Rattus norvegicus: one gene and its partners. The protein of the gene in region 3 interacts with the protein of the main gene of each other region in a biochemical or structural test. Links are inferred from orthologs where the notes say so. Each region holds a gene or a part of one and is shown on either strand. Other genes may lie near its edges. The genes, in order: Tie1, Tek and Angpt1.

Region 1 (3,652 bases), on a different chromosome or scaffold from region 3:
CTCAGAATACGACTTGGTCCACCTCCAAAGACCCCTGCCTTTCCCAGTGGAGTTTGTCCTAGCCTTGCCCAGTGGGAATTAATGGTCCACTTAGTCCCAAGCACCCATTGAGTGGTTCTGACTCCTTCTGACCTCTGGCCGCAGAGCCTTTGCTGCAGCCGTGGGTAGAGAGCTGGAACGTGGAGGGTCCTGACAGGCTACGGGTGAGCTGGTCTCTACCCTCGGTGCCACTGTCTGGGGATGGTTTCCTGCTGCGTCTGTGGGATGGGGCCCGGGGACAGGAGAGGCGGGAGAACATCTCATCCCCCCAGGCCCGCACTGCCCTCCTGACTGGACTCACGCCTGGCACGCACTACCAACTGGATGTGCGGCTGTATCACTGCACCCTCCTGGGCCCTGCCTCACCCTCTGCGCATGTGCACCTGCCCCTCAGCGGTAGGTCCACTGTGGGAATGATGGGTTAGGGATAAGGGGAGGTGGCAAGAGACTGGGTAGATGTGGAGAGAACCCAGGATGAATGGGAAAGATAGGAGATACCAGAGGACACACATCACTTAGAGCATGTGGATCAGGGGCACATGAGGAGATTACGACTCTTGTGAAGAACAGGGCTATGGGGGGTTGGGGAGCATAAGCTACTAAGAGGCCTAGGGAGGCAAGGTGACCAAGGGAAGAGGCAGCTTGGAGGTGAAGGTCATGTGGGGATGAAGATGAGTCCAGCCAGTGGGAAAGAGAGAGAAGGTAGCACAAGGCTCCCATGCTGGGATCCACGAAGCAAACTACATGCTAGAGTGACTGTGACTGACCTCACAGTTCATTCTATCCCTTCCTTCCCCTTCCCATCTCCCCAGGGCCTCCAGCTCCCCGCCACCTCCGTGCCCAGGCCCTCTCAGACTCTGAGATCCGTCTGATGTGGCAGCATCCTGAGGCTCCGCCTGGACCTATATCCAAGTACATTGTGGAGATTCAGGTGGCCGGGGGCTCAGGAGACCCTCAGTGGATGGATGTAGACAAACCCGAGGAGACGAGCACCACCGTCCGTGGTCTCAATGCCAGCACACGCTACCTCTTCCGTGTGCGGGCCAGTGTGCAGGGTCTCGGCGACTGGAGCAACACAGTGGAAGAGACCACGCTGGGTAATGGTGAGAGCATGGGGTCTGTGATCCCTAGGTCCCCCGGGACTGTGCTCTGCATGGGTCCCTCCACTTCACCCCCAAACCTGGAACTAAGGCATCACAAGACTTCTAGAGACATACAAGCCTGACTTTCCCACCTTGAATCCATTCCCCTGCTGAACTCGAGTCATCCTCGAGACCGCCCCATAGCGTGGACCAGGATGTCCAAACTCTCCCTCTGTGGGATCCCACGGTGGCCTCTGGGTTCCCTGACCCGCGCCATCACCACAATCTGTCCCTTCCTGTGTCTAGGGCTGCAGAGTGCGAGCCCAGTCCAAGAGAGCCGGGTGGCTGAAGACGGTCTGGATCAGCAGCTGGTCCTGGCTGTGGTAGGCTCCGTCTCTGCCACCTGCCTCACCATCCTGGCTGCCCTTTTAGCCCTGGTGTGTATCCGAAGAAGCTGCCTACATCGGAGACATACCTTCACCTACCAGTCAGGATCGGTCAGTGTCCCATACCCACTGGGTACACGGTCCCGTCTGTTGTGTGTGTTGGACCCACATACATGCGAGTACATACACGTATGCATGCACATGTCCATGCCAAAAATTTTAAGGTGCATCTAAGTGAGCCTTTAGGATACAAAATAGAACTTTCTTTCCTTTTTTAACTGAGCTCAGCTCTTGAGCCCATCCATATTAATGGTTGGATAATTAAGATTCTCAGTTAAAAAGAAGTCAGCTCTTCCATAGTTCACCAGGTCTCATTCAAGGCTTGGAGAACACCATTTGGAATTATCTTCTACACTTACCCATCCCCTGGGGGTCAGCTTGGATCATGTGGTGATATCCTGGAGCACTACTAGGGCCCATGCTGGCCTGTGTCATCACTGGCCCTCCCTTATGTGGAAGCCAGCCTTTATCTGTGTTCTGAATCTTACTGGCTGTGACTCTCATCCCAGCCTCCGATCTTTTGTTCTTTCTTTTTTGAGACAGGGTCTCTCTATATAGACCAGGCTGGTTATGAGCTCACAGAGATGGCCTGCCTCTGCCTCCTGAGTTCTGGGGTTAAAAGTGTGCGCCACCATGCCCAGCCCCAGACTATACTCCAGGGCCTCTCTGGGAAACTGTTCACCTGGGCTTAGCTGCTCCCCTCAAAGGGCAGCAGTGTGTGGCCACACTGTTCACATAATTACCTTTGACTTCTAAAGTATACAAGGCCTGCAGCCTCACCTGCGTTCCCACTGGAGAGAAGTTCACTCTACAAACTTTTCTGGGTTTTTAGTCCCTTATAGGCCATGCCTCTGGCCCTCAGGCCTGTACAGACATGGGATGGGGAAGTGGTGCTGACACCTCTTCAGAAACCCAGACTCGCCCTATCTTGTCGTGTTCACCTATCCCATGATTCCTGTCTTCTCCTAACTTCCTTCTCTTGTCACTTAGAATCAGGACTCTGGCCTTGGTCCATTCTGCTTGGCTCTTGCTATTTAAAGACACTTAAGAGACATTTGGAGCACCACCCAAAATGTCAGAAAGAAAAGAAGGAAAGAAACAACACTTCTCTCCCTCTCCCTCTCCCTCTCCCTCTCCCTCTCCCTCTCCCTCTCCCTCTCCCTCTCCCTTTCCCTCTCCCTCTCCTTTCCCTCTCCCTCTTCTTCTCCCTCTCCCTCTTCTTCTCCCTCTCCCTCTTCTTCTCCCTCTCCCTCTTCCTCTCCCTCTCCCTCTTCCTCTCCCTCTCCTTTCCCTTTCCTTCTCTCTCTCCCTCTCCTTTCCCTCTCCCTCTCCCTCTCCTTCTCCCTCTCCCTCTTCTTCTCCCCCTCTCTCTCTTGCACTAACTCTCTTGTTTTGAAAGTTCACTGATCAAGGCTGGCATCTGCTGTGTCTTTAAATATCCCATCCAGAGTCCAGAGATTCAACTGGCTTCTTTGTCTGAACTCTGTTGATCTCGCCTCTGAGGTCAGTGCGCACAGAAAGCCATCACCACCATGGGGGGCGGGGAGAGGGTAACACAGCCAGATGCTGAACCGAGGCAGGGAGGAAACGAGCATCTGTTCATTACCAATATCAATTTAGATGTTCCTGCACACAGCTATTCATGCTCATGCGCGTGCCGTGTAGTGGGGCAGAAAGAAGTACCTCCCATGTGTGTATGCATGTGTCCCCATGCTGGCACACCTTCAGCTCTCTTGTGTATGTGTATTTGAATAGATGCTACTGCATGTGATGCAGCCACAGAACATACATGTGTATTCTGTTGTATGCCTCAGCTGCACATGCTCAGAGTGAACCCATGTGATCTGTGTCCCCAACACTTACATGTCATGCTAGTCATCGGCTCACCTGGGGAGTCCACTGCATGGTCCGTCTGGACCTTGCTCTGGGTCCTCAAATTGCAACCCCTTACTCCGCTCAGCTGCTGCCTTTTCCTTCCATCGGCCCTGCCCAGGATGCCCCTGCTCAGTAGAGAGAGCTGGACAGTCCTCTTTGTTATGGTCCTTGAATCCTGGAGGAACAGGGAGCATCCCTGCCTCTGCTACT
Region 2 (3,652 bases), on a different chromosome or scaffold from region 3:
TTAGAACTTTCATGGCTTCTGCATGTGCCAAAATGTTCTTGTTCTTCTATTAGCATGGGCTGATATGGCTAGGCGATTTTGGTATATAGGGGACATCTTTTTTTTCCTGGTACTAAACCTCCAGTTGGTGCCTTTTGAATCCAAACCTTACCTTGAATGTATTTCCAAGCCTGATTGACAGGTTTATAGAAGAGCTTCTTGGATTTGATCGGTCCATCCCCAAAGTAAGGCTCAGAGCTGATGTTGATGATAGCAAAGTTGTGTCCAGTGTCAATAACATTTGGGGCATGCAGGGGCTCTGGAAGAACTAAATGCAATTTTAGCAGTCAGCATCATTCTTAAGGGTTAGGGGTGCGCTATTGCTTAATCTCATAGCTAACTCTTCAAGAGTTCCGATTCAATCCTGTCTCCCCACCACTATCCCTGCTTTGGAACGATTCCTTAAAAGAGCCCTCTTCCACAATCCTTCAGTGGGTTCTAATTACATGAAGGCTTAAAATGGGGCCATGACTCAGCAGGCTCCATCACTGCTTCAAGAAAATGCCCTTGCCCTAGTGCAAGAAACATACCTTTGACAGAAATGTTGAAAGGCTTTTCCACCATCCCAGCCACTGTGTTCACACTGCAGACCCAAACTCCTGAGTCAGGAGGTAAGATCCGGTTGACAGTGAATATGGCCACTGAGAAATGATCTGTATGGTTGAAGTCATTTGGCTAGAAGAGTCAGTCAAACACACACACACAAAGTTAGAATTTCTTGGGGTACTTACACACAAAGGCTCACGACACATACTCCAGCTCATTGTTTAGTAGGAAGTTTTCTACGAGAGACTGAGGAGCTGAGCACAATGCTAATATAATCACTGGCTTATTTCCAAAGCTATTGTAGCAGCCCTGAAAGTTTGTATTGGACTGGTGCCCTCCGAGATCCTGCTGTTGTATTTGTGTTTGAAAGTGTTGAATAAACACTTACCAGCAAGGAGTTTAGTTCTTTTAAAACTGCCCTGGGTAGCATTTTTTTTCCTTTTTTAATGTGGTAGGTTAGAAGGACAAAGTAGCTTCCTGCCTATTTGAGGGGCTGTTAGGAATGGTGCAAAGGGAAAAGATACGTGGATCTAAAGACACATATGTCTCTATTCCTTTTGTCCACGTCCTCAGATACTTAACATCACACGTCCAGTTCCCTTTGTGCAAATATGAGGCAGGCAATGCAAAAAAGTTATGGGTAGAAGACTAAGAGGACAGCTGAATTAGAAGTTCCAGCAATGGTCTCTTCACAGAACAATAAAGCCAAAGAGGGGGGTTGGGGATTTAGCTCAGTGGTAGAGCGCTTGCCTAGGAAGCGCAAGGCCCTGGGTTCGGTCCCCAGCTCTGAAAAAAAAAAAAAGAACCAAAAAAATAAAGCCAAAGAGCTATTCACTCGCCAAAATGCCTTCAGAGAGCTGAGGGAATCAAGTAAAAGGAACCTGAAAATGTTGACTTTTAGCATGGAAATAAGAAAAGGTATACTGTAGAAGGAAGAAAGTAAACTTACTTGGAGTTCCCCCATCTCCAAGCGACATAGTGTGGAAAGAGATGCTACCCTTCCGCTGAGGGGAGATGACCTCCAATTCTTAGACCTTATCTAGTATCGGGCAGGTCGCAGTGAAGCCCAGTGTCAGGCAGAGCCTCATAGCCTTGCCCCACTACACATGTTTGTACTCTGTAAGCTAAACTGTTGGATCTTTATTGGCTAGGAAGTGCCTCCATCACCGAGACCTTTGGGCCATAGCAAGGAGCAAGATTCCATCAACCAAGGAGCAGAGAAGGAAGCTGAACATGGGACCTTACCTGGAGTTCAGTGCCAAACAGTGAGTCTAAGCATAAGATCGACTCCAAACACCTATATCCTGAGACCAGTGCTCAAGAAAAGAGCCTCCAGGAACAGAATATCTAAAACTGAATACAAGGAGGAGGAACTGGAATAACCAAACTAGGACAACACTAAATTAGTAAGGAGCTAAACTGGGAGTTTCAATACATGAAACACTCTGAAAAGGCCAAACCTATAGGTTATAGGCATAGAACAAGAATTTCTGTCTAAAGGCATAGAGCATATAAAACATATATATGCACATATATAAAACATTATAAAAGAAAAATTCCCAGAGCTAGAAAAAGACATGCCAATCCAGATACAGGAGTCATTTAGGTACCACAAAGACCGACCATAAAAATCCTCATTGTCTAGTTATACTTAGGAACACTAAATACACGGGACAAAGTGTGTTGAAAGCAAAAGAGAAACATGTCCCATATAAAAACAGGCCTATTGGGATAACAGCGGATATTCAACTGAAACTTTAAAAGTACAGAGGACTTGAAGTATTTCAGGTCCCAAAAGACAACAACTACCAACCCAGAAAACTACACTGAACAAACCTATCTGTCCTCAAAGAAAATCCAAAGCATCTGACAATGAGAAATAGACTAACAGAATTTATAACCACTAAGTCAGGTTTATAGAAAATACTTGAATGAGTCCTGAATACCCAAGGAATCCTGCAGAGGAAACAAAGCTGCACATACACCCATGGGCAAGTGTAGTCCATGTCCACATGCAAGTGAGGGCTGGCACAAGACAAGGCAGGGCCTGTGATTGGGCAGTGAGAAAGGAAGGCGGGACAGAGTTTTTTGTAAGGTGGGAGAGAGGAAAAGAAAGGAAGAACAAATGTGGAGGCAGAGAAGAAGGACCTTAAATGGCCACGGGTAATTATGAATATTTATTTCTTAAGGGATGGATTTTTATAGGAATTTGTCTTATCTAGGTAGGCAGTTTATATCATTATCAATTGGTTGTGAGTTTTTTGTGTGGACGTTTTGTGTATTGAGAATTTAAGATCTAAATCTGAGTGCTAAATTACAAGCTTATTGAGTTTTGATTTCAACGGGTAACTGGGAGTTATGACCATAACCACAGGGGGCAGATGCTGGGAATATGAGCAGAGTCCAAAGTAAGAGAGCCATGAGATAGACAGTCTCTTTATGAAAGTGGCATGGCGGTGATCTGCCTTGGGAACTAGATGATAGAGTTTTAAGAGGGCGGCTGCTGTGGAGGTCAGAGAGTAGCTAGCCGTCAGCAGTGTGGGATGGAGACTGGGAGCTTAGCAGGTGAGACGCTTTGTTGACTGAGATGAAAAACACCCCACAGATGTCATATGGCCCACGGAAGACAGCATTAGCGCAGGATGGTAGAGATTCTTTTTTTAATATTTACTGCTACAGAGAAGACTTTAATCCACACTAAAATAATAGTCAACCAAGAGAGGAAAATTACCAAACATTACAAATTCAATGAAATGGCATGAATCAATACACACCTTTCAATATTAACTCGAATATTAATGATCTCAATTTCTTGTTCAAAAGGCATAGTCCTTTTTTTAGTAAATACTATTTTTTTAAAAAAAGTAGGAACCATTTCTTTCTTGCCTACAAGAAATCCACAAAAGACAAGATACTACCTTAATGATACACCTTAAAGTTCTAGAAAACGAAGCCAGACCCTAAGTCAGTAGATGCTAAGAAATCATTAAAATCAGAGGAGAAATCCACGAATAGAAACAAAGAACAACAAAATACAGAGAATGAAAAACACAAGAATTGGCTCTTA
Region 3 (3,652 bases):
TTAACAGCTGCTCGTGTGTGAACACTCAAGAGACCTGGATAATTGTCACTCTTATAACACTGCACACTTAACCATTATTTTGTAGATGATGAAATTGAGTCTCTTAAGTGAAGCACAAAGTCCCACTGAAAATTATGTCAAAGGGAGTCTTCAACTGTAGCAGAGATAAAGGGCCTGGTTACTTAACCCAAGCCAAGCCGTTGTTCCCCACATCAGATACATGGTGGTGTCTGATAAACTACCCAACAGTTTACTAATGTGGGAACCCATTTCGTTTCCCCTTTTTGGCTTATCTGTCATCTTAATGATGAAACAGTTGTTTCTGCTTCACCACACTTGGCCATTAGACAGTTTTCTCCTCCACTACCTCTCCAAAAGCCATATTGCTTTATTGTAGTAAAACTTTCTGCCCATTTAGAAAGTTTTCTAGGTGAGGTGCATGAAATTAAAATATGGTTTCTAAATACAAACTACAGGGTTTTCACTTCAGTTGTTTCCTCCTGAAAGGAAGAAAAATCTACAAAGCCTACTATTAGCAAGTAATGCTTTACTTTTGGGGAGGTCCTTTAGAGCTCCAGGCTGAGAGCAGGAGCAGAGGCTTTCTATTTTGTAGGAATGGCTCTCATGTTTGTCCATGTTTTGAGGCTCACCCGGGATCGATGCTCTTTCCCCTGGGGAAGCTGGGGAGTTTTATCCACACAACACTTTCAACAGCATGGAAATATGCGACCTAAGACTTAGCACTTCATCATTCCTGCCCTCTCTGCTCACATTTAATATGATTGCTGACTCTTTGCTTCAATGCTTTACGGCAAAGGGACTTGGGGAGTGGCTGCAGGGACAGCTCTGGCTAGTCTGAACTAAAAACTTCAAGAGAAATCCCAGAGGTTCTCCTTGTCTTTCAAACAATTGCAACAGTTGAAGAGTGCTAACTCCGAGTTTCGGCTCTGTATAACTTGCTATTCCGTGCATGCCTTGAAGAAGGAAAACTTTGGGTTTCTTAGCATGTAGCGCTTGCTCCTGTGAGATGCTGTAAAATCTTTAGCACATCCTAAAAATTTACAGATCTTTCCTGCTACTGTGTAGCTTTCAGTGTCTTGGGAGTAGGGAAGCAAAAATGAGGATTAAAACCCTAGAACCCACATAAACAACTATATGTTGTGGCAAACACTTATAGTTCCAGTACTGGAGGACTGAGACAGGAGGCCAGACTTTCTATCCAATAATGAGCTCTGATTGAGTAAGAGATGCTGTCTCAAAAAGTAAGGTGGGAAGTGACAAAGGGAACATAATAAAGAAAGTCCACAAATGTCAATCTCTGGCCTCCACATGTGTGCAGACTTATACATTAATTCACACCAATGCATACACATACACACTCACAAATACACACACACACACACACACACATACACACACACACACAGAGGGAGTCACTGGAGTACTAAGTGTAATGAATTCTGTATTTTGCCCTAATAATTCTCAGGGGAGTATACATGCAGTAGCATCCAGACAATGTGCAATTAGTTAAAATAAAAATCTAGTCAAAATAGAGAACTTTGAAAATATCTATACTCATATTAAATTTAAATACAAAGCTGTATGTGCGTGTGCTTGTGCATGTACGTGTGTGTGTGTGTGTGTGTGTGTGTGTGTGTGTGTGTGTGTGTGTGTGTGCATGTACATATCTGTAGCAAACTCTAGGCACTCTAGGCATTTGCTCTAACTAACTACTAAGCTGAAACAAAATGGACTGTGATCTGTTAATGTTGCAATAACAAACCTGGCAGATAGGGATTTGACACCAACTCTATCCATCTTTGAGAAGTGATTCTACGGGCAGAAACAATGGAAAAGGTTAGAGGATTATTAGTAGTCACTGAGGAACAGCATATTTTCAAAAAGAAATGGGGAATATTGATTCTTTTCTTATGTTGCTTAATGGGGGAAAGTTAAGTAAACTTATGTTTAATGTTAAAATTGATTTTAACTTGGAAAAGAAATATTTTCCATATTTTATTACCTTTGAAACAGTCAGGACTGCTGTAATTATTATAGTACTTTCTTTGCACTTTTAAATACAGATTAAGTCTTCATTGTAAATGCCCCCAATTAACCATGGTCCATTTCTTTGTTAAACAACCATGTATAATATATATCCTGTGATTACAGGGCCTACTCTTTTAAATGCTTGTATGCATAAGCATGATTACGGAGTTTGTCCAGATGAGAATTTGTGTGAAAAGTTCTCAAGCCCAAGACTCCATCTGGAAGCTGATTCTTTTGTTTTTACCAGCTCTCAGTTATATGGCTGAGAAGCAGCCAAATGTCCCATTGCAATGACCAAGTTTAGATGTTCCTCCTCTGAGGTTCTATAACATTTGCTCCTTTTGCCTTTCTTCCTTTCCTGTAAATGTCAGTGTCCACTGCTCACTGTATGACACTTCTTCATTAGTATTTGAGAATTCTCAAAGGTAGTACCCTTTTCTATTGCTAAGCAGCTCAAACCTGCTTCAGTAAGACAAACGGATAGAAAAGGAGCTAATTTGATCAAGTGCTACCAAGAGTAGCTTTCTGAGTTACTGTCAGAGGCCCCAAATCTATATCAGTAATTTCTCAATTTCTTTCTGGACCATTATCTTCAGTGAGGCATCAGTTTGGGGAGGGTACATTTTTTTCTCCCCTCCGCCCCAAAGTTGACAGTACTTACTTGCATGATTGGAAAACAATAAGGCCCCAGGGGGCTTCAGGTACAATTATGTCAGTTCATGCACTCCCTAGCCCTTGCTCCTCAGCCTTCCGCCTCCAAACCCCAATCTTGGCCAATGAAACAATCTAAGTGATCATGTGGACTGTTTTCTAAGCTCCATTTTTAAAATTAATTAGGAACTCAGTAAGAGAATTGAATCACTTGAAAGAGCGTAGTATAAAAGCATAGGGTAATGAAAAAGGGAAGCTCAATAACGGGAACAGCGAGCACATTACTATTATAAGGGTTGGGATCCCGATATTCAAATTATAGATATTCAAATTATGGAAATATCCAAAGTATGCTTACAATGTCAACTAACGTTTTTAAAACTTTGTCAAAAGAAAACCTTGAATTGAGAATTGTTTTCTGATCAATCTTCCTAATTAGGTGAATTTAGCCCAAGAGTGTCACAACAAACAGGTTTTACTATGTCAAGAATTAGATGTAAACGTCAATGGAGAAAAACACAACAGAAGTGTACTAGAATAAGTAATTACAGTGTAAAAAGCAAGCAAAACTGTATTTGTTATTGTTATTTAAGGAACATGAAAAAGTTCCCTCTGGAGTAACTCTGGAGTAACGAGTGTGTCTCTATTCTTTCCCAGGGTTTTGGGAATCCCTCTGGTGAATATTGGCTTGGGAACGAGTTCATTTTTGCAATAACCAGTCAGAGGCAGTACATGCTGAGGATCGAGCTGATGGACTGGGAAGGGAACCGAGCCTACTCACAGTACGACAGATTCCACATAGGAAACGAGAAGCAGAACTACAGGTAAGTTCCATCCAGTCCTGGGCTCGGCAGTCTTTGGCCTTGCCATAATAGCATGAAATGAAAAGCCAGACGTGACGCAGATGATCCTCTTTACTGAATATTCAAGGTTTCTGTCTAGCCCTGTGATG

What was found.
Region 1: the proteins of Angpt1 (region 3) and Tie1 interact in a biophysical measurement, tested with the Homo sapiens proteins (2 studies listed by BioGRID and IntAct, with this or other methods). The link is inferred for Rattus norvegicus from reciprocal best matches to the Homo sapiens genes ANGPT1 and TIE1.
Region 2: the proteins of Angpt1 (region 3) and Tek form a complex in vitro, tested with the Homo sapiens proteins (6 studies listed by BioGRID and IntAct, with this or other methods). The link is inferred for Rattus norvegicus from reciprocal best matches to the Homo sapiens genes ANGPT1 and TEK.

Annotation. Positions count from the first base shown.
Region 1 is NC_086023.1:137,291,424-137,295,075, reverse strand, and holds part of Tie1 (tyrosine-protein kinase receptor Tie-1 precursor), read left to right. Parts: intron 1-144; coding exon 145-435; intron 436-851; coding exon 852-1,142; intron 1,143-1,427; coding exon 1,428-1,618; intron 1,619-3,652. UniProt on the Homo sapiens protein: Transmembrane tyrosine-protein kinase that may modulate TEK/TIE2 activity and contribute to the regulation of angiogenesis.
Region 2 is NC_086023.1:114,788,722-114,792,373, reverse strand, and holds part of Tek (angiopoietin-1 receptor), read right to left. Parts: intron 715-3,652; coding exon 570-714; intron 308-569; coding exon 152-307; intron 1-151. UniProt on the Homo sapiens protein: Tyrosine-protein kinase that acts as a cell-surface receptor for ANGPT1, ANGPT2 and ANGPT4 and regulates angiogenesis, endothelial cell survival, proliferation, migration, adhesion and cell spreading, reorganization of the actin cytoskeleton, but also maintenance of vascular quiescence.
Region 3 is NC_086025.1:75,462,696-75,466,347, reverse strand, and holds part of Angpt1 (angiopoietin-1 precursor), read left to right. Parts: intron 1-3,357; coding exon 3,358-3,524; intron 3,525-3,652. UniProt on the Homo sapiens protein: Binds and activates TEK/TIE2 receptor by inducing its dimerization and tyrosine phosphorylation.